5 linked regions of the Oryzias latipes genome follow. The protein of the gene in region 1 binds, or shares a complex with, the protein of each later gene. Links are inferred from orthologs where the notes say so. Each region holds a gene or a part of one and is shown in the gene's direction. Other genes may lie near its edges.

Region 1 (4,948 bases):
GGAAGGGCGCTTGCCTTAGATTTGCAAAAAACATCACGTAGGTCATGGTAACAGGAGGGGATCTTATCCAGATTAATGTTACTGGGAGAGTCAGTGGTGTGATGATGAGCCGAAGGTAAGGCGGACGAGAGACAATTAGCAGAACAATAGGGGCTCCAGTTAGTTATGTGTCCTAAACTCCAATTAAATTGTGGGTTATGCAACTTTAACCAGGAGTAGCCTAGTACTATGGGCGTATGAGTGGACTGGGTAATGAAAAATTGCATAACTTCCCTGTGGTTGCCAGAGGTGAGAAGTTGAACAGGTTTGGTTCTATGCGTAATTCTGGAGAGGTGCTGCCCTCCTAAGCCCGAGGCCTCTACAGGAGCTTCCAGAGGTTCTGTGGGAAGACCGAGTTTAGACACCAGACCATGATCAATTAGGCTCTGTTCGGCTCCAGAATCTATAAGTGCCCTGAAAGCATGAGTTTGGGTTTTACAGCATATTCTGACAGGAATGCACAGGAAGCTTTGATTTTCCTGAGTGCTGAGGTTGCCCCCCCGTGACCTGTCACTCAGCGGGGGGTTTTGGGAATTTAAACGCAGAGTGCACTGTGAAACTAAATGTCCATGGGCTCCACAATAAAAACATGAACCCTCCTCTTTTCGCCTCTGTCGTTCTTCTGCAGATAGTTTAGAATGATCTCTGTATAGGTCCCTCAGATGGTTTGGAGCTTGCGAGAAAATCCATTCTGAGGGGCGACTGGGCTGTGATGGTAGAAGGGGCCGGATCGCTGATGGTTTTCTTCGGGGTCTGTTGGCGATCATGACGTCGCTCGGTGAGTCGGATGTCCGAGCGGAGGGCTGCTGAAACGAGCTCTTCAAAGGAGTTAGTTTCAGGCTGAGTACAGAGATGGTCTTTAATTTCTTCATTCAAAGATTGATAAAAAATGCCCTTTAAAGCCAGATCTGGCCAGCCTGCTTCGACCGCCAGAATGCGGAGTCAATGACGTGCTCACTAACAGTCCGGTTGTGTTGTTTCAGGTTAAGTAATTTACGTGTGGCTTCTTCCCGTTTACGGGGTTGGTCAAAAATCAAACGGAATTCGTTTAGGAAGTGTTCATAGCGAAGGTGACTAATAGGGTTAGCAGAAACAAAGGCTTGAGCCCACCGAAGAGCTTTCTTCCGGAGAAAATTTATTATAAGGGTGATTTTACTGATATCAGAGTGATAATGCCTGGGAGCCTGCTGGAATATGAGTTGGCATTGAAGTAAGAACCCGCCACAGGCTTCTACGTTGCCTAGGAACGGTTCAGGCTGTAACCGGAAGTTTTCGGGTGAGTTGACAGGACCGGAAGCGGAAGCTGCATTGTTGCCGGAAGACGGAGTAGAAGCTCCTATAGCAGGGTTAGCATGTCGCTCGGTTAGCTCGGAAAGCGTTTGGTTCATACCTCTGATGCGAGAGATCGTGTCCTCTTGGACTGTAGTGACGCGGGTGACCGCACTGGAGAGGAGTTCCAGGAACCGACCTTGTTGGGAGACAATATTTTGTAAATCTTCCGGGCCAGCTGGGTCGGGGTTTTGGCTAGTTGTTCGTTCTGTCATGACTTGTCAAAGCTAGACAGACCCAGACGCTGAAACCCAGAAGGAAGACAGGAGGTGAGTGAAGGTAAATAATAGATTTAATTTTTCCAGCGGATGAATTTGTCCTGTTGTGGCGGGGAATGGCAGGAACGGCAACTCCAGATGAGAGGGTGGATCTTGACGTGGCTGGAGGTTCGGCTGAGGCCAGAGCTGAGGCCTGATGTATGGAGCGTTGAGAGGAGGTAGGTAACTCCGGGGATAACTCCGCTTGGGCTGAAGCTGAAGCTGGCGTCCACTCGTGGGATATGTAGGTCCTGGACATAGAAAGACTAGAGTTTAGACGAGGGTAAAGATACGTAACAGGAAAACTTGAAAGAGACCAGACAAGCACCATCAGGGGCAACGAACTAGCGTTGAATTCTGGTCCTGGCGCTCCTTAAGTAGGTCTGGCAGGTTGATGAGATGAGTGAACGCAGCTGGGACGAATCAGTGGCCAAGCAGAGAGGGGAGGGGGAAGATAGCTGACAGAGGCCCCATGACAAGGAGTTCACTAAAATTCACCTCTGAGCTTTTGGCAGGACTGTTGGCATGAAGTAAGCCTGCCCTGACATCATCCCTTTGTTTACACTCTCTCCCACTAGCCTACAGCCCCTCAGAACCCCAACCTAACATTACAGATGCAACAAAAATGGCGAGCAATATCGAAACTATCCTGCCGTACAGTTTTGAGCCAGATCTCAGCTCATACAAGGAAAATGAAGGCGGAAATAGATCTAGTCGTCTACAAGTGGATGCATCAGAATAGAGAGGAGCTCAGAGCTTGTGGCCTGCCAATTGTAGCACCTATGTCACTGCTTCAAGCTTTTTCCAACAGCATTTGTTTTATCTGCTCCTGATTCATAACGATTTGAATAAAGAAACACTCAGAAATGCAGTTTTGATCTTAATTTTCTTCATAGATGTCAAAAAAACGCCACAAGAACATGTTAAAAACACCCAAATCAGGATTTTTATTGGAGTGGGTCTTTAATGTGAAGCACAACTGACTACTATATAATTATTGGACGAATACTGATATAAAAGTTAGGCTCAATCATTTTTTCTGACATATTATTGACATATATACTATTTAATACCATAAAACAATCCAAAAAGCACACAAAGGGAGATTTTCTGAGTGGTTTAAAGAAAGGTGTGACATATGATGGAACGGATAAGGGAAGGTACGACGGTACAGGGTTCAGACGGGTGGAAGGCTGGGGATCTGGGGCTGGAGGCATACTTGTGGTCTGAGCATGCTTGGGCCTGTCAGAAAAAGGATGCAGGTACCAGCAGGAGGTTGAGAACATCAGAGAGCAGCAAGATCGTATCTTTCTCTTTCCATGCTGTACCTGAGTGTTGAATCACCTGAGGAAGCAGCCCATCCTGTCCTTGTCCAAATGTCTGTTCTGTCTTTTTGCTGGGAAAGATTCAAAATGGGTCTTTCAATTATAAAATTTCATGTCATTGGTACATGAGGTTTGCTTTTATATTTCTTATTTTTATTTCATTATCAGTGTTTTGCCAATTAGAAAGACATTTTGTTTGAAAGGGCATAAGAACAAAAACATGAAGTCATATTTACAACTTTTTGTAAATGCATCCTTGACATACTTATTGGAACTTCATTTAATATGTAAAACTTATACACACATTCTACTGCCAGGATGCATCTCAGAAATTGCTGAGATTACTAAAATTACCAAATATAGCCAATTAGTCTCTAAATCCACTTATTCCTGTTCAATGCCATCGTCTACCCAACCACTGAGGAGGGAAGGTAGAGTACATCCTGGACAGTTTTCCAGTCCATAGCAGGGCAACACGGAGACAAACAACTACAAACGTTCACACCCAAGGGACTATTAATAACCACCAATTGACCTACGAAGCATGACTTTAAACTGTGGGAAGAAATCAGAAGAAACCTACGCATAAACGAGGAGAACATGCACACTCCACACAAAAAGGTGCAGCAGGGTTTTGACCCAGAGCCTTCTCCCTGTGAGATGAGAATGGCAACAACTACGCCAGCACCACCAACGTATTAGTAATAAATATGACACCTATTTTTTTATAAACGTCTTAGAAAAAATACAAAAACAAAGCTTGTGTTTAGGCCCCACTACTTATTGGACCGTTACAAAGAAATGGATAAACATAACGTTTGAAACGTGTCCCTTAACTCAATGCTTTCTTAACTCGAAATAAGTAAAGTGAACTGGGTCCCTATTATTTTTTATTGTTTTATTTATATGTTTTATTGTTTATTTTAATGCTATTTTAAAGGCCTAAAAAGTATATAGAAATCACAAACATGTCATAACATGTATTTGAGAACACGTGTTGAACTTCAAGTCATGTCTGAAGAATACCAAGGAGAGGACCAAAATAATTTTGATCCATTAAGATAATGAATGTTTTTATAACTTGGTTCTTTGTGTTGTTTACATTTTCTGCACTTTTAAAGTCCCACTCCAATCATCTTTTGATCTATTGTAAAAGGGTTCCCAGTGGTATTTTAATTATGATTATGCCGTTTTTAGCCCCCAAAAAAACCAACGTTGTTTTCTGGAACATGGTTTCTGCAGAGCCAGATGTCAGCTCAGTTGAGGAAGCCAAAGACGCACTTGTATATAGTTATCTGCAAGTGGACGCATCAGAATGGACCAGAGCTGGAAGCTTGTGGCCTGCTGATTGTAGCACAACTACAAGCTTTTTCCAGTGGTATGTTTTCATCACCTCCTGGTTCACATTTGAATTAAGAAGTACTCAAAAATGCGATTTTAAGCAGAATTTTCTTTTGATATGTTCTTCAGCATTAGAAAAATGCCACAAAAACATGACTTAGGCCTTATACAACACATGTAAAGCAAGGCAATTTCATTTGCATATCGTTTTATGCAAACAAGGGAAATTAAAAATGCTTTGCAGAAATAAAATTGTTTTAGCTACATACAGCAAAGTAAAAAAAAAAAAACTATGTTTAAACTGGAACTTCAATCAAGAAACAGTTGGTTAACATCTGAGTTCACCAGGAGGTTGGTTCTAGGGATGGGTACCGTGCCCCGGTACTGAACCAGCCCCGGGGCCACATTGTTCAAGACCGCAGTATCGTTAAGATCTGACCTGAACGGTTCTGCTATCGGTACTGGAGAAGTTACTTTTTCTTTTCTTTTTTGTGTCCCACAAGTGTTATCTGCCATATTTAACTCACCAAGTCAGTCAATTTTCCGTTAATTAATTATGATATTAATTTTGGTATTCTCGTTGAAGCGGGGGCGGGGCTGTTTTTCAGACAGCACGCGCCGCGCGCGCACACACACACACAAGACAAGGCAGCGCAC
Region 2 (4,209 bases), on another chromosome or scaffold:
CAAGGCAGCAGGGGCAGACGTGACCCCCCAGACACCCACACAGAGAAGCAGATCGAAGGGGTCTGCCCCCCTAGACAAACGGCACCAGCCACCCAGTCCAGAGGTAGCACAAGGTCCAGCGCAAGGTCACACCCACCTGAGAGTTCCCACAGCCGCAGATCAGGCGTCCACCAACACCCAGGCGTCTGCATCCCCCAAGAAACACTCATGTCACAGCCTAGCCAACTACCTCCCTGCCCTGTGGGGAGTCCAGCACAGATCCAGGCAGGAAGAGGGCTCCAGCGAGAGACAAGGATCCCTGCGAAAAATGGTTAGCATGGACCGACCAGGCTCTCTGGTGTTGATGATGATGAGGAGTTACATAGCAAGAATGCACGGACCAGAACCAGAACCAGGGACACAAACACCACCAGGCTCAGATGATGCTAGAAATCTCAAGGATCCCCCTCCCTATATGTGGAGAGAGGATTGCCGGGTCAATGAAGCCAATACCCAAAGAACACAACCAGCACGGCTGAGCCGCTGACACATGATTTCTGTGAGGACTCTCATTCATACAGGAGAGTTCCAGAGCAGAACAGTTTCCAGAAAACAAGGGTCATCCAGACCCAAGACATTTTGTCAATACTGTAAACACAACAACACAAAACACTTCAATTAGGAAAAAGCACAAGCTTGATTAAAAAGGTGTGAACGAGGTATTTCTGCTCATTGTTTTTCAAAAGTGTGATTTGTAAACAAAAATGTTATTCAAGAACTGAAGAATGCAGTCAATTTAAAACGAAACATAGCAAATTAAATTAAAAAAAGAACAGATTTAATCAATAGAAACAAGGGCCTTAGCTTAAGCGTAAACAGTTCAAGAGTGATGTGTTTAGAAATCTTTTTTTTAATCAAATACTTCTTTTTTAAAATAACTATTCCTTCCTTGTGACCTAGATTTGACTAAAATTCACTTTAGAGTCTATAGTTTTAATTTGTTACCTTCTCGCAATAGAAAATAAAATAGTTATTTACCAGAGCAAACTCTTCGCAAAAAGTAGTGTATTTAAGTGTACTACAAGTATACTTAGTCTACACTAAAAGGTAGGCAGTATACTTTAAACTTTTATATCCATGCATTGTAGACTTAAAATGTTCACATTTCTTCAGAAGGACTCAGTTAGTATACTTCTTACACTACATGTACATGGTCTACAGTACACTTGCAATACTCATACTCAAGTAACAAAAACTTCAAGTAATTTTTACTAAAGGAACTTTGAATTGTTCTATAGAGCGTAAGAAAGAAACAAAAAATGAATCTTAAGAAATTATATAAATTGTGTTTTTCATCCCGATGAAAGCAGAGAACATTAATAAATTATGCGGTTCTGGATTAAACTTTCATTTCAACCTGTTCCGTTTCCTTCAGGATCAGAACTGATAACGTGTCGTAGTCACGTGTTCCGGGCAGCTGACTGTGACGTCACAAAGCAAGATGGCGAGCTGGGACAGAGGTAGGAAACCGAACACGTATTCACTTTTTAATATTTGTTCATCTTCGGTGTTTTAATCAGGATAAGACGAGTCCCGTAGATCGGAGGGAGTATTTAAAGCGAAATAAAGTCGGATTAGATTACGACCGGAAATGTGGAGCGTCTGACTCTGAGCTAACAGTAGTTTAGTTAGCTGTTGACAAGTCAGTGTAGCTATCATGAAGTGAACTAACTTTGAGCTGTCAACAAATTCGTTTATTTACATAAAACCACCTTAAGTTCTGAGGGATTTTTTTTCAAATAAATGTTCAAGTTTCACTCTATTTTTTCATCTTTTGGTTCCTATTTAGATAAACAAATTTCCTTTTTTTCGGAATCCGTGTAATTAGTAATACTATGGTCGGAAATGACATTACAATCTCTCATGTCCGTCGGTAACTTTGGTTTAACCTGAAATTCTGTGGTTCTGGTTCTCATTCGAGTTTCTGCTCAGTATTTAAAGACCCACTCCCATGAAAATTGTGTTTTTAACTTGTTCTTGTGCCATTGTTTCTCATTATGGAGAAAAGTAAGTAAGCTTAAAATTGCATTTCTGAGTTTCTTTATTCAAACTATTGTTAATCTGGAACAGACGGAAAATTGCAGTTTGAAAAAACTTGTAGTTGTGACGTAGGAGCTACAATCGGCGAGCCACAAGCTTCCTGCTCCGCTCCATTCTGATTCATCCCCTGTCAGTCAAATGGATCCATCTTCTGTCTTTGTTTTCCTTCTCTGAGCTGGACTCTGGATCTAAGCTGTAGGTGGTGTAGGTACCATAACCGCTACCACACTAGTCCCTGGAATCCACAGATGCATATGGGCCAGTTTGGAGAGCAGAGGGAACACATGCTGTTGAGATTTCCACCACAGCAGTGGATCTTCAGTGAGAGGCAGAGAAGAGGCGTCTTGATATTGTTTGACCTCTTTTTCTGCGAGGCTGCTGCTGTAGAGGCATAAGAGGTCTTCTTGAAGGTTTGACCCAGAAGATCTACTCGTGCAGACTTTCTTTTCTTGGTGGTGCTGGTGTCGCTGCTGGAATGTGGCGGCTCCTCATCCTCCAAATCCTCCTGTAGGTCATCACAAGACACTGGATCCCCTTCCTTTAAAGCTGCTTTTGACTTCAGTTTTGCAGACGTGTCTTGCAGAAACAAAAGAGATTTAAATCTAGGGTCTAGGGCTGAGGACATGCGTAGGAGATCTTTTTCCACCTCAGACTGATATCTCTTTGAAAGGTCTTGATCTCTCGAACCAGAGGAGAATCTTCTTCAGTGCTAGTTGAGTTGTACAGCAGTTTGGCATGAAGAGGAGCAATCATTGAAATGGTTGGATTCTTTTCCACAAGCATTGGTTTAAGTGCTTTAACCATCTCTTCAGCGCTTGAAATGTCATCCTCTGTCAATGCACAGTCTGTCACATTCTTTCTAACCTTGAGAAAAGAAAAAGAAATTCAAATTTTAGTGCTCTCAAGAAATGTATATTTTATCATTTATATTTAACCAATTATGCTTTCTAACTATAATCTTAATGTGTATTAGCAATATATATACATGCCAAGTAAATTTTTTAAGTGTAATGTAATTTACCGTATCCTCAGTCGAAAGGCCCCCGAACGGTTATTGCAGGCGAACGGTTACGGTACCTACACCAGATAGCTCTGATATTGCTCACCATTTTTGTTGCACTGCTAATATTAGTTTGGGGTTCTGAGCGGCTGTACGCTAGCAGTAGAGAATGTAATCACAGGGATCATAGGAAATGAGGACGGGCTTTCTCTGCACCAACAGTTCTGCCCACAACTCAGAGGTGAAGTTCTGATGAACTCCTACCGCTCTGCAGGAACTATGTCCTAGAAAACAACACAGTTATTTAGATTTGGGCTAAAAACATCATCATCATCATCATAAATAAAAAGACCATTTCTGGCTGCTGGTACCATTACAGAGAGTAAAAAGGTCCTCGGAAGTGACTCCTCCCTGAAAGTACACAGGCTCCTCGGCAGTACTGCAGGTACAGTCAGTACAGTCAGTACAGCCTTTCTGCAGGCACACTTCAGTCCAGTTTTTATGAAGGTGTTAGTTATATTCCCCCCTAAATATTCCTGGCTTGGGTGTTCAGTGATGATGGAGCAGCAGGCCGATATCTCATGAGTGAACTATCACCTTTTCTTTGGTTTCCTCCAGGTCATGGTACTTCCTACAGTCTCATCAGTAAATCTGTGATCAAAGATCTTAACATAGCATTCAAAAGTGCAGCTAGAATGAAAGCAAAACTTGAGGTCTGTTTTAAACCCATTCACGTGTAGCTTCTTTTAAATTGGGCTTTATTGACAAAAGTTTTTAATGTGTATGTCTGATTAAATGTAAAACCTTTGGCTAAAACAAATCACTTTTAATTCATCTTGTATGTTTTCAGATCATGACTCAGTGGATGACATGCTGGATGCTAAAAACAAACGTTTGGCTGAGAACCTGGCCACCAAAGTCTCCAGACTGAAATCTGTGAGTCAAACTAGAACATTTCTGCAGATTCCTGAAGATGATGTACTTTTATTTCTCTATTTGTAGCTTGAATGGAAGCAGAGAGACGAATACGTTTATACATTTATGCTTCTGTCAGACCTTACAGGATTTCGCAATGTTGCCATTGCACCAATTCACGGCAGTTTAACCAAATCCCACAACATTTTCTCGTG
Region 3 (4,254 bases), about 15 Mb from region 1:
TTTATTTTGAAAGGACGTCATGTGAACCTCTGTCAAAGGGTGTAAAATATTTTGTATTTAGAAAAAGAGGCTCATTTGTCCTTATGTTTTTTATTCATGCCCCGAAAAAATTCATTAGGGTTTAACACAACAGTAGAAATACCACAAATACACAAATCTGAGTCCTATTTTACTAAAAGGTGGAGTAGGACTTTGTGGCTCCTGTTGGGTTGTAGTCGGGATTTGTGGCTTTATTTTTGCTGGTGCTGTTCTTTTAGAGGTTTTTACCCTTGTTTTTGAGCTGTCGCTTATTATTATCATCCTTCTGTAGACCACTATAAGTGAATCTTGAAACATTTTAGTGGGTTTGTTGCTGAAAAAAATACAATTGAGAGCCATATTCCTCCTACAACAGTGTTTACATACATTAATTTGTACTCCATGAATATTGTTTCTCTGTTTTAGTGATCTTTGAGACTATGGACGTTTAACTTTTTTATTTTAATATAAATTACAAAAAACAAAAATCAGTTGTTTAGTAGGGACTTGTGGGACTATAATATATATATTTTTAACGTTTAAGTACATTTTAGTTCACAAATCTTAAGTAAACACTGCTTGTTTTAAAATACTGCCCCCTAGTGGGGATAAAAGACATCGCAGGATTTTGACCAAGTAAACAATGACATGTAGTAACACACTAAAATATAAGCTCAGTTTTATCAAATAAAACATGATTTTGGTTTCTTTTTAAGTAATATAAATTAACAAAAAATGTTTATATACGAGTAAAAGGGATTTTCTTATGAACAGACACTTCATCTTCCACGTGAAGTCTGCAGCCGGGCGGTGGAGAAAGCTAGCATTAGCTTCTTCGATGTGTTATTATATATTTCACCTACACAAACTTTAACCAATATACAGTTAAGTATCTAAATAACTGATCAAACAAAACGACATTTTCTTATTTTACCATTTCCAGTTTGGGTTTCTTCTCGCCATCCCCGGCCATGCTTTTCACGTCGCTCGCACTGCAAAGTATGAGCTTTGTGTTTCTTCCCCTTTATTTTTGACTTACAGGCTGAAAATGAAAGTGTCGCCATGCTGTTATTATTCATTAATAACTGAACCCGCTTGGTTGGACATTTATTCCGACTACAACCCTAAGAATAAATGTTTTATTTAGTCTGCCATAAAGAGATATGTCGATTTGAAGTGATGACACAAATAAATTTTGTTAAACATAGACATACAAAACATGCAATTAAGAAAAGATAAACGGATCGAACTTAAATTAGGTTGGTGATGAAGTACTACCTTTCACTGCGCTAAAAAGTAACATTCCTTAACATTTAATTTGCAAATGCATTCAATTTAGCGTGTAATCGTAGCCTTTAAGGCTAAACTGAGGGGAATTCCTAAACAGTTGCTCTTACGCATGAAAACATATGACGAAGACACATCGTCATTTGTAGTTTAGGGAAGTGTAGTTCAGAATGGTAGAAGAGCAGCATTCACTGTGAAAGAAATTGCAAAAAAGAACTACATTACCCAGCGTTGGTCAGTGTGTGCTTCCGGTCCAAAGGATCCGCAAAGCAGAAGTCACTCGAAAGGGATTAGCTAGCTTGCTAGCAGCTGACACATTATAAATGTGGGAAAATAATTAGCTCGTTTGAGTGGCGCTGACACGTTAAGGTATCGTTTTGTTTTGTTTTTTTGCAACAACGTTTAACTTACAAACAAAAACTTGAACTGACACTTTGATTAACATTTTGGTCTTTTCGTTGACGCCACCACTGTTCCGTGTTTATTTCAACATTACTTACTACGCTAGCTTGCTGCCGAATCAGTCTTTGTTTTTCCCAATGATTTATACCACAATAACACGCATAGGGATGTTGGGTGTAATCGTTTTTAGTATTTTTTTGTCTACAATACACAATTTTTTTCCTTTTCTTTCTAACTCATCTTAACGGAATTCCGGTGGGAGGGAGGGAAGGCGGGTGGGGGCATTTTTGTTTTACCTGAGCTCCACCTACCAAAAAACAACAACAACAAAAAGCTTATTCCTTTCCTTGTTTATTTGACAGAAAACTAACGTAGCGGAGAACCCAGCTGTGTTACCATGGCAATCCTGTTTGCTGTGGTGGCTCGTGGAACCACGATTTTGGCCAAACATGCTTGGTGCGGGGGCAACTTCCTGGAAGTCACAGAACAAATTTTAGCCAAAATCCCCTCAGAGAATAACAAACTGACCTACAGCCACGGCAGGTACGGTCCAGTTTGCTCCTTCATCTCAATAATTGTCATTATTTTGCCCACAATCAGGGCTAGTTTCTGGGAACGTGTAACTGATGGTGTTTCTATTTTGTTTTCAGTTACCTCTTTCATTACATCTGCCATGACAGAATCATATACTTGTGCATCACTGATGATGTGAGTATCTTTGGACTTTTTATTTTGTTTTGATGTTCAGCAATAGTTGGGAAGGATGTGACACTGGCACAAAGCTTTAAATACGTGTAGTTGCATTTATCGTGATTGAATGTTTTCTGTTAAAGGACTTTGAAAGATCTCGTGCATTTACCTTTCTTGGCGAAGTCAAGAAGCGCTTCCAGACGACGTATGGCTCCAGAGCTCAAACCGCCCTTCCCTACGCCATGAACAGTGAATTCTCCTCAACGCTGGCGGCTCAGATGGTGGGTTGAGCGTGACAGATTTCCTTAGAATGCCATATGACTTTTTTTAGAAGAAGAAAAAGACTTTTGCTTTAGTCATAACCAGAAAAGCAAACTTCTTCTATTTTTTTTCCTATTTCTTTTGGTTTTAGTTTCGTTTTTCCCCCAGAGTAGTTAAAAACGTCCTTTTTCTTTAAAAAAAACCCTTTTCATGTCAATTTCAGCTTTGTATAGTCAACATATTGACAAATGGGTTTCAACTTCCTTCTCTACAATCGTGGCATGTACAAAAAGATCAGCAGATGGTCACATGACCACTCTGGCATTTTAAGTACGTTTTAAAGTCAACCTTTGTCTGCTGCATTTGAATCTGTATCATTTGAATTATATCTGAACATTTTCCTGACCTGTGCAGCATAGAGATACAATTATCTGTCTTTATTAAGAATTTTCATGGAAGTGCTGTTTTAGGGATGTTTGGTATTTGAGGACAGACAAATATCTGAACCTCTAATGTATTATTAGCAAGGGTTTTCCAGTGTTAGTGTTAAAAAAAACATTGTCCTTTATTTTCCACCAAATATCGAAGTGATATGGTCGAAGGAGTAAAAAGTTTTTTTTTGTTTTTAAAGGAAAAATGAGTGCAGATTTTCAGTGTTCCTGTGGGGTGTAGGTACCATAACCATTCGGCCTGCAATAACCGTTCGGGGTCCTTCGAAGAGTGCTGACGTCACATTATGTGATTGGATGTCTGTTGGTCCGATCACGTGCAGTTTTTAAACTGTTGCAGTGAAATAGAAATGATGTTTTAGGTTGTTTTGCTCTTTGTTCATACACCACAAGTTATATCGTCATCGCAATATCAGATAGTGATTGGTCTGGATAAATTACGATACTAACATAGAAGAAGATATTATGCGGTCCGTTGTAAACATACAGAGCTCCGACACAGAGAAAGATTATCTTCTAAACGTGCTTTTGGTAATATTATGATTAGGCCTGCACAATATATCGCAAATTTATCGTTATCGCAATATCAAGCTGTGCAATATGCATATTGCAAAAGACGGCGAAGATCGCAATAAATGGTTACCTTAAGTATGCTAAAACAATCTGATGGCAGTATTTAACGAAGCAAAAATAATCCCTTTTATGTTTTTGACCAATCGGATGGAGCCCTTTTGTGTTAGATGTTCGTCTCCTATGTAGATGTTGGTCATTTGCAATGCAGTTTTTAAACTGTTGCAGTGAAATAGAAATGATGTTTTTGGTTGTTTTCCTACACCCCAAGTTACATCGTCACCGCAATATTAAGTTTTCCTCATGACATGTAGCCCTAAATATTATTATTATTAACTGCATTGCAGCTGAACAGACTGCGTTCTGAACTCTTCTCCGGACCGCACACTATAACAAAGCAGCTTCCCAGCCTGCGAACACGAAGCTACGAGACTCCAGCTGCTCTGCTCAGAGACACGGTTCACTCGTGTGGAGCAGCAGGTTCATTCTAACAGCCACAGATCTTTTTACAAAGTGGCTTGTGGCAAAATATCTCTGTAAATATTACAGAGAATAATCTCAGACACATCTTATGAGG
Region 4 (4,298 bases), on another chromosome or scaffold:
AGCCCAGCCAGGACAGGGAGCTCATGAGCGCCCTTCCACATATTCCAGCTACAGAGCAAGAATGAGTCTGTAATACAACACAGTTGCATGTTGCTGTTGACGAATACAAATATGTCATTGATCTGCCAGTTTGGAAAAAGATAGTGCAAAGATATATATTCTATATGTGGATAAACACCTGCTGCCTCCTACAGACCTGCTGCTGCTTCCACGACGCTTCAGGTTCATGTCCTGCTTCCTCCTATGTCTGTGATCCAGATTTCCACTCCTCTACTGAGTGGAGACGAAGGGTCCAAAGGGGAGAGAACTGCAGGGGACCTCCACCTGAGGAAGACCTCCACCTGAAGAAGACCTCCACCTGAGGAAGGCCTCCACCTGAAGAAGACCTCCACCTGAGGAAGACCTCCTCCTGAAGAAGACCTCAACATGAGGAAGACCTCCACCTGAGGGATACCTCCTCCTGAAGAAGACCTCCACCTGAGGAAGACCTCCACCTGAGGAAAACCTCAACATGAGGAAGACCTCCACCTGAGGAAGACCTCCACCTGAGGAAAACCTCAACATGAGGAAGACCTCCACCTGAAGAAGACCTCAACATGAGGAAAACCTTAACATGAGGAAGACCTCCACCTCTGTCTCCTTTCCCCCCTCCTTCTCAAATATGTGGCCTTCAGACTCTGTCATATTTTTTGAATAAACATCATTTTGCTCCAGCGCGCTGAAACTATGTTTTAGTCCTTTATTGTTAATGTTATGACTTGTTTTTGTGGAGTTGACTCGTTTCCATCCTAAAGGACCGGGGCGCAGCAGAACCCTGAAGCCTTGTCTCCAGTCTTTGGTGGGAGTGTCCCCTGGCCCCTGCGGCTCCTGCGGCTCTTGGCTCCAGCGGGGCCGGGCCGTGCGCGTCATGTGACCGGGGAGTGGCTGCGAGTCAGGAAACGGCGCAGCTCCAAGTCTCAGCGCAGGTAAAGTCCAAACGATCCCAGAAACGAACCGAACCGTTCTAGAGCAGGTTTTGGTCTCGATCCAAAATCCTACCGCGGGTTTCGGAGCGCTTCACTTTCTGAGGACAAACGGCGAGATGTCCCGAACCGGGCTGGGGGCGGGTGGGGGGGCAGTTGTGTAGAGACCGGTAGTTTCATGAGCTAAACGTCACGTTGACGCTTAAAGTTCGGGGTTTTATAAACAGAAACTCCGGGAGAGAGCAGCCGTCACGGAAGGACACAGACCGTGGTGTTCCGAGAAAGTCCTCTGATTTCCGCATTTGCGGCTGCTGGAAAGACTGCAGCCCCACCGACCGACCGCTGCAGGCGGCAGGCTGCCCCGTAACGCACGGCGGAGGGGGTCTTGACGGGGTCCTAAAAACGCGTCATCATAGCAGACGCTGGAGCGCCGCTGGTCCCGGAAACGCGCGTGAGCAACTGCCTGACCCGCGTCAACGCCCCCCCCCCCCCCCCCCAACTGGCCCCCGATCAGAGCAGACTGGGCATGAGCCCACGTTGGTCCAGCATGGATGGGGGTCAGGGGTCAGCTGGGCTGGTGTTTGCTGCAGCAGCTCTTTGGTTCTGACCTTCAGCGTTTCAGAGTTTCAGGATTTGTTCTGAGAGGAAAAGCAACTTTCCTTCTTTGTGTTTTCACTGCCTCCATCACTCAAAGCTGTGAGGAAGTTTCCATCATCTCCATTTGTTATCAAAACGTTGGTTTGACCTCAGACTGTTGATGCTTATGTCAGACAAACGCTGATGATGGTGTAGTTTTCCCTCCTGATCCTGTTGGTACAGAGTAAGCCCACCTTCACTTCCCGTCATCCATAGCTTTAGCGGCACCACAAGAATGCTGCTCAATATTGGAGCTGTCCATGGATCTATTTGTCTGCAGGTGGGGGCATCAGAATGGAGCAGGGCAGGGACACTTTGGCCTGGCCAGAGTATTTTCTACATCACTAGTCTTCATCACAGTCTTTTTTTGTCTGCTCCTGATTGACAACAGTTTTGGGTTTGGGTTTTGCCAGCACCCGTCCTGCTAGTTAAAAACCTACTCCAATGAAAATGGTGTTTGTGGTGTTTTTACATGTTCTTGTAGCATTTTCTAATGATGGAGGACATACATATATATAGAAAATCAAGCTTAAAACTGCATTTCTGAGTATTTCTTTCTTCAAATCGTTGTGAATCAGGAGCAGAAGAAAAAATGCTGTTTGAAAAACCTCTTAGTTGTTACGTAAACTACAATCAGCAGGTCACCAGCTCCCTGCTCTGCTCTATTCTGATCTGTCAGACAAACAGATCCGTGAACGTCTTTGTCTTCCTGGTCTGACCTGGAATCTGGATCAGAACTGGACGGATGATAGATCTGATGTTGATCACCATTTTTGTTGCATCACTAATATTAGCTTGAGGTTGTGAGGGGCTGTAAGCTAGCAGGGGAGAGTTGTAAAAAGATGGATGACGGGAAGGGGGGGTGTTGTGCTTTTCGCCAACAGTCCCGCCCACACCTTAGAGGGGAATTTCTAATGAATTACTCCCAGTCCGCAGAAACTATGTCCTAGAAAACGACAACGTTTTCTGATTTAGTCTAAAAACAGCAGAATCGTAGTGAAAAGACCGCTGGGAACACTTTGACAATAGATCATAAGATGATGGTTGGGGGACTTTAAAGGTTAAACATGCAGTTTGTATGAAAGCAAGACATAAATGTGTCTTTCTGTGTGAACTCAGCTCTCATCATGGCCTACCAGGCTGGGATTCAACGGGAGCCCGCCGCTTTGGTTCAGAACATCAGCTCCAACATCCAGAGGATCACACTACTGAGTAATGCACACACACACACACACACACACACCCACACAGACCTGTGCACATGCTGAACCCCACTGGACCCCCAGCATCCTCACTCATGGATCTGTGTTCCAGCCTCAGAGCTGCAGAGGGCCGTGACCCTGCTGGGGACGGAGCAGGACAGCAGCCAGCTCAGACAGACGCTGTGAGTTCTGACCGCCTGCTTGATCACACATGCAGCCAAATGAGTTCAAACCGACAGCCGGCCTGTCTGTGGACGGTCACCATGCACACACACACATACGTTTCCCTTGTTCCTTCAGTCAGTTCATTTGTAAAGACTCCTGAATGGCAGGAAGCAGACTGTCTTTATTATTTTAGCATCTAATTCATTCATCAAAACAGAAAGATAACTTTAAAAAGATGTTCTAAACACATACATGTTCATATACACACATTGGAGATGCAGGTTGTTACTAAAGTAAGTTCTATTCTTATAACAGTGTTTTACTTGAATGGGATCATTTGTCCCTGTTTTAAAACAGTTCCATTCAGTGGGTTTAAGGTTCAAAAAGTAGTTTTCAACCTTTAGAATAGTTTTTTTTTACTCTGTACTCAGCTAGCTCCTGAAACCCGAGCATTTTCCACGTCAGGAGTAATGGATTTGTAAGATTTCTGTTTCCTCGAGTGAAACGTTTCACAGATGCTTCCCTCTGGTTCTCAGTCAGCAGAAACAGCAGCAGGGGAACCAGCTGGCCAAGGAGACCGACCAGCTGATCAAGGCCTTCACCGCCCTCCCCGTCGGTCCCGATCAGGTACGAGGCCCCTTCGTCCCACGCACCGATCACATCGAACCCGGTCAGGAGTTTGTGGGAATTGATCAGCTGTGTTTGTGTTTTCAGAGGCAGAGGAAGCTGCAGAAGGAGCGTTTGCTCAATGACTTCTCTGCTGCGTTGAACAGTTTCCAGAAGACCCAACGGCAGGCCGCCGACAAGGAGCGGGAGTTCGTGGCCCGAGTCCGAGCTGGCTCCAGGCTGTCGGTTCGTATTCGCCTTCGTCATTTCTGGGAGTGCTGTGAGCGAGAGCTTTCCGTGCACGCTCACCTCATACTCACACGTTCCACAACCAGGACCATCCGGGTTCTTTCTGAACAACACTGCCATGGTTTCCCGGTTTCAGCTGTTCTGGGCCATAATGTACCATCTGCTCAGAGTTTGGCTGAACGTTCAGACGTAGACAGGTTATTCAGATGAAACCCTCCAGCTGAGGAAATGAGAAAAGCTTCTTCCAGTGACAGTGTGTCTGGGTTTATAGGCGTGTTCAGGATGGAGTGGGTGAGTGTGAGCGCTGTGAGGAAATGTTTCAGATGGTCAGGTGAGCAGATGCACCTGTCCCAGCCTGTTCCAGACCCAGCATGAGCCTTCCGCTGGTTGGGGGGCAGATCTCTTTATGTTGATTCATTGATGGTTGTGGTTCTTGCTGGCATTCAAACATCTCCATAAAGTAAGAACAGGCATTGTC
Region 5 (4,115 bases), on another chromosome or scaffold:
AAAGTAAAGCAATAAGATTTAATATATGTGTTAGAAAAATGTATATACCGGTAAGTTATCTCATATTTGCTTTTATGTATTACCTAGCTCTATAGGTAATATAATCATACATGCAGAAGTGTTTGTGTCCAAGTTCTGTTTCACAGGAAGGTGAAGGTGAAACTCTTGGGAGGAAACCGACTATCTTAGCGTCTTCCCAAGATCAGCATGAGAACTATGTGGTATCTGTGTCAAGACCGGAATCAAAGGACGCTCTGTGTCAGTTATCCGTGAGAAAAGGCTTTGCAGGTCCAAAGATGATGTGGGGAGACTGTGATAAGATGGACATGTTGCAATTAATATTTTCTGATGGCGCTGCAGTTGTGTTCAATCTGTCTTCCACTCCTTAGAGCTCAGCGCATGTGTAATTTAGGGAATTCCCAAAAAACTTAATAAAAGAGGAGGCGACAGAATATGTGAAAGAGTGGAGAGAGATTGTTGCTGGGTATTATCTCTGTTCACTCTTATTTTAACTCTTGTTTTAATTTTTAATTTGACAAAATGTTTGATTCATATTATTTTGTTCATATGTCAAATGAACAACAAAGTATTATGGCCACTATAAAAGCAGAAAAATTAACATTTATATATGAAAAAAGGTGTAAAATACAAAAAGTTTACATTTTAGAAGAACTAAGAAAACAATTACTACAAAAACGTCATGCAATTATCAAAAAGAAATTTTACAATTTTCAAGAATAAAGTCATATGTTTAAACTGTAAAAACTTGCAATTTTCAAAGAGATGTCATGCTTTTTTTCTTAAGTAAAGTGTTAAATTTAGTTTTTAAAAATTTTCAACTATGACAATTAAATGGTTCCTGTTTAAATGATGTTGCAGAGAAATTTGATGAATATCTATCACTTTGATTATGATTTTTTCTTTTTTGTTTTCTTTTTTGTAATTGCACAACTTTAGTTTCATGAAGTTATAACCTTAATTTAAAAAAACATGACTTTTTCCTTTTTAAATAATACATTTTCAACTTTATTTTTGGTAAATGTTGACTTTTTCCCCACAATTTTACGACTTCGTTCTCATATTTATATTATAATTTCATAATCATATTTGCTATTTATTCTTATTGTCAATAGTAATATAAAATAATAGTATATAATCATAAGTAATATAGTAATACTCTGTCAATTCTAATACTCCGTCGTACAAATATAGTATGGTTCTGGCTATTCCAATTGAATTAAACCAAAGCAGGTTTTGTTGCCTGTAGTAAAGGTGTCTGTCACAAGGGGGCGCCATCGATTAAATTCTGTTTGTTTGAACCGCAGAGGAAGAACTGTGAGAACTGTTGCTCTGGAGTTAAACTTGCTGAATGACAGCAGTGGAAAGTCCGCAGCTTTTGTTGCTTGGGAACCGTTGTCCTTCCTCGGCCGCGTGCTCGCAGCGTTTCCGACACCAACTCTGAACATCGACATCAAAAATGCGGGATCGAACAAAAGAGTTAGATAATGTAAGTTTTAAAGTTGGTGTGTTAGCAATAGCGTTAGCTTGCTAACCTAGCTGTATTGATTGTTTAAGTGAACTTTGAAATGCTTCGGTCTCTGATTATTTATTAACTGTAAGCCCGCATATGAGAGCAAAACAATATACCCCCCCCCCCCCCTTATTTTCTACGCTTGGAAGCACTTGTGGCGATATTGCTTTGCTAACGTCCGCTTGAGTTCTTCCTCCAAGGAAGCTGTCAGGCCGGGATAAGGGCAGGGCTCCCGGCTGCAGATCTGAACCGGCACCTTCACACAGCTCTGTTTCATCCTCCTCTTGTGTGTTTCTGTCCACCTCACCGCAGAAAGCCGAGGCCTCAGATGAGGAGAACGAGGAGAAAACGGCTTTGATGAGCAAACCTGGCAGCTCTTCAACAAAGGAAGATAAGGAGAATGAGGCTTTTTTCAAAAAGGTGATCATCCAAGTTTTCGATCTGGGCTCCTCCAAATGATTTGTAGTATTATCAGATACCGGATGTCCTGGGAAATGCTCCTCCAATGGGCCTCTGCTTCATGTTTATGAGACAGAGGACAGAGCTGAAGGTTTAGCTGTAACACACACAATTGTTTTGCCGACATTAAATTCTCCTCTAATCCCAGAACAAAAGGAAAGTAAATAAATATAAAAGGTCAACTATGAAGCTTTAAATATGAGTGAAACATTAACGGACAACAAACACTGGCCTGTATGTAGGGCTGCACTTAACAATATAAATAAAAGACTTTTAGTGGAAAAATGCAGATGTCCATAAAGTTTTGACATTTTAGTTGATTGTAGCCATCTTTAGTGTGTAAGACCTCCACTTATTATTTGATGCTACAGTTTACCAACTGTCCACGAAAGCAGCATTACTTTTACAGTGAGGGGAAAGAAATGCCATGTTTTATTTTGAAAATCTCTGAAAAGAAAGTTTAAATAAAGTGTCATAGAAGCTGCTATAAATTATGATCATGATGTTCAACTTGTTGCAAACTGTAGTTATAATGATCTAGAAGAGAAACATTAAAACAGAAAGAAGTAAAGAGAAGCATTTCCATATATTATCACGGTTTAACTTTTTAGGTTTTTTAAGTTTTGATTGAACTTTAATTGTTTGGAAAAAATAATTTCTATGCTAAGCATTTCCCCCCCCCCAAACAATAAAAGGGCTTTAGCAACAGAAATCCTCTTTTCAGGTTTTTATTTTAGTTTGGCTGAGTGAAAGAGTCAGACGGACACCAACAATAACACACAGTTGTTTATCCAACTGACTTTTTTCTCACATTAGAAAATCTTAGGATACTTTTTGTATCAGTTAAATGAAACATGTTCAAAGGTGTTGGTTTGTAATAATGGTGTTTCTATTTTCTCCAAATTTCTTTATATTTTTAAAATTCAGATGTTTTTCTTTGAGGGAGGCTGGAGTCAGATACCATCAAGATGGCAAAAGTTTCTGAGCATGTCTTTCAATCCAAACCATTTGTGAGGAAATCAAAATAAACTAAGTAAAGAGAGATGAAATCATAAAGTCAAGGCAGTTATGGATTTTATTTAAAGTCAAGGATCCATTATGATCTATAAACCTTGAGAAGATTCTAAAATAAGAGTCAGCAGAGGGATCTTTGTTCTAATATTTCCTTGGATTTCTTTTTTTTTTATACAAACACTGCATTTCCCAACCCATTAATTGAAGTTTTCTGATCAAAAAAGGTCAGGATGTTACAGTTGCAGTTAAAGCTGTTTGTCTGGGAAGATGATTTTGCCTGTTAATCCTAAAACTTTACAAACTTCTTTCTAAGGTGCAAGAAATCCACGAGGGGTTGCAGAACTTAAAGAGGATGGTGTCAGAGCTGGAGAACAAACAGAAGACGGTGCTGGGCGTGGCGCTGCCAGAGGAGAGTACGTCAACTTTATGAATTTGATAAATTCGTGTTGCATTTTGTAACAGAGGATCAGTGTAGTTGCACTTTAGGATTAGAACGACGTTTCTCCAGATTTTTCACAGGGATCCCACCAGAGTAAGGCGGGGCTAGTTGGGGGCGCCTTTCCAATCAGATTTTTAGGCTCAATGAGGGCACCAAATATGTTACAGATTAGTTTTCTCTATTGGATCGCAGTGAACATGTTTTTCTTTGTCGTCTTCTTCCAAAATGCAATTAAGGGAGCTCCTTTCATGAGGGTGTCTGATGCTTCTCTGCTGATCAATCAACTCCTGATTTAGTGATTTTTCTCAGTGGCAGATACTTTAGCACACAAAGGTGGTCAAAAATGAAAGGAATATAATAATAAAAAACAATTTTTTAAAAACATTTTTATGAATATCTCCTTGTACTTTGGTTTGTTTTGGGCCAAACACATGGCAGGAGCCCACAACTTGTTTGTACCGTCCAAAATGTCTCTGCTGGAGCTGTGAAAGAAATAAGAAATACAAACATAAATTCCTCCCTTCTCTCTGTCTTTAAATCCTAACGTTTACTCACAGTATCAAGACAAAAATAAATCATAAAAAAGAGGACAATTATTTTGACATTTTCAACACACCCTTCTTCTTTCTCTTCTCCTTTTTTGTTGTTTCTTTTTTTTTTGTGGTAAATGTG

The links. The genes of interacting proteins can lie anywhere in the genome.
Region 2: stx5 (region 1) and bet1l share a complex: the UniProt entries of both Homo sapiens proteins name them as parts of the SNARE complex. The link is inferred for Oryzias latipes from reciprocal best matches to the Homo sapiens genes STX5 and BET1L.
Region 3: stx5 (region 1) and vamp7 share a complex: the UniProt entries of both Homo sapiens proteins name them as parts of the SNARE complex. The link is inferred for Oryzias latipes from reciprocal best matches to the Homo sapiens genes STX5 and VAMP7.
Region 4: stx5 (region 1) and stx7 share a complex: the UniProt entries of both Homo sapiens proteins name them as parts of the SNARE complex. The link is inferred for Oryzias latipes from reciprocal best matches to the Homo sapiens genes STX5 and STX7.
Region 5: stx5 (region 1) and syntaxin-4 share a complex: the UniProt entries of both Homo sapiens proteins name them as parts of the SNARE complex. The link is inferred for Oryzias latipes from reciprocal best matches to the Homo sapiens genes STX5 and STX4.

Annotation. Positions count from the first base shown.
Region 1 is NC_019868.2:11,883,317-11,888,264, forward strand, and holds the start of stx5 (syntaxin-5), read left to right. Parts: upstream 1-1,785; 5' UTR 1,786-1,804; intron 1,805-4,948. UniProt on the Homo sapiens protein: Mediates endoplasmic reticulum to Golgi transport.
Region 2 is NC_019864.2:3,547,362-3,551,570, forward strand, and holds the start of bet1l (BET1-like protein), read left to right. Parts: upstream 1-1,409; 5' UTR 1,410-1,480; coding exon 1,481-1,499; intron 1,500-3,929; coding exon 3,930-4,015; intron 4,016-4,209. UniProt on the Homo sapiens protein: Vesicle SNARE required for targeting and fusion of retrograde transport vesicles with the Golgi complex. Required for the integrity of the Golgi complex.
Region 3 is NC_019868.2:26,863,141-26,867,394, reverse strand, and holds the start of vamp7 (vesicle-associated membrane protein 7), read left to right. Parts: upstream 1-1,454; 5' UTR 1,455-1,674; intron 1,675-2,069; 5' UTR 2,070-2,104; coding exon 2,105-2,250; intron 2,251-2,357; coding exon 2,358-2,415; intron 2,416-2,540; coding exon 2,541-2,678; intron 2,679-4,254. Other genes in the region: DNA-directed RNA polymerases I and III subunit RPAC2, read right to left, coding at 953-991. UniProt on the Homo sapiens protein: Involved in the targeting and/or fusion of transport vesicles to their target membrane during transport of proteins from the early endosome to the lysosome. Required for heterotypic fusion of late endosomes with lysosomes and homotypic lysosomal fusion.
Region 4 is NC_019882.2:21,987,155-21,991,452, forward strand, and holds the start of stx7 (syntaxin-7), read left to right. Parts: upstream 1-1,498; 5' UTR 1,499-1,513; coding exon 1,514-1,658; intron 1,659-2,717; coding exon 2,718-2,810; intron 2,811-2,912; coding exon 2,913-2,982; intron 2,983-3,501; coding exon 3,502-3,592; intron 3,593-3,679; coding exon 3,680-3,817; intron 3,818-4,298. UniProt on the Homo sapiens protein: May be involved in protein trafficking from the plasma membrane to the early endosome (EE) as well as in homotypic fusion of endocytic organelles. Mediates the endocytic trafficking from early endosomes to late endosomes and lysosomes.
Region 5 is NC_019877.2:19,255,879-19,259,993, reverse strand, and holds the start of syntaxin-4, read left to right. Parts: upstream 1-1,315; 5' UTR 1,316-1,477; coding exon 1,478-1,507; intron 1,508-1,843; coding exon 1,844-1,951; intron 1,952-3,317; coding exon 3,318-3,417; intron 3,418-4,115. UniProt on the Homo sapiens protein: Plasma membrane t-SNARE that mediates docking of transport vesicles. Necessary for the translocation of SLC2A4 from intracellular vesicles to the plasma membrane.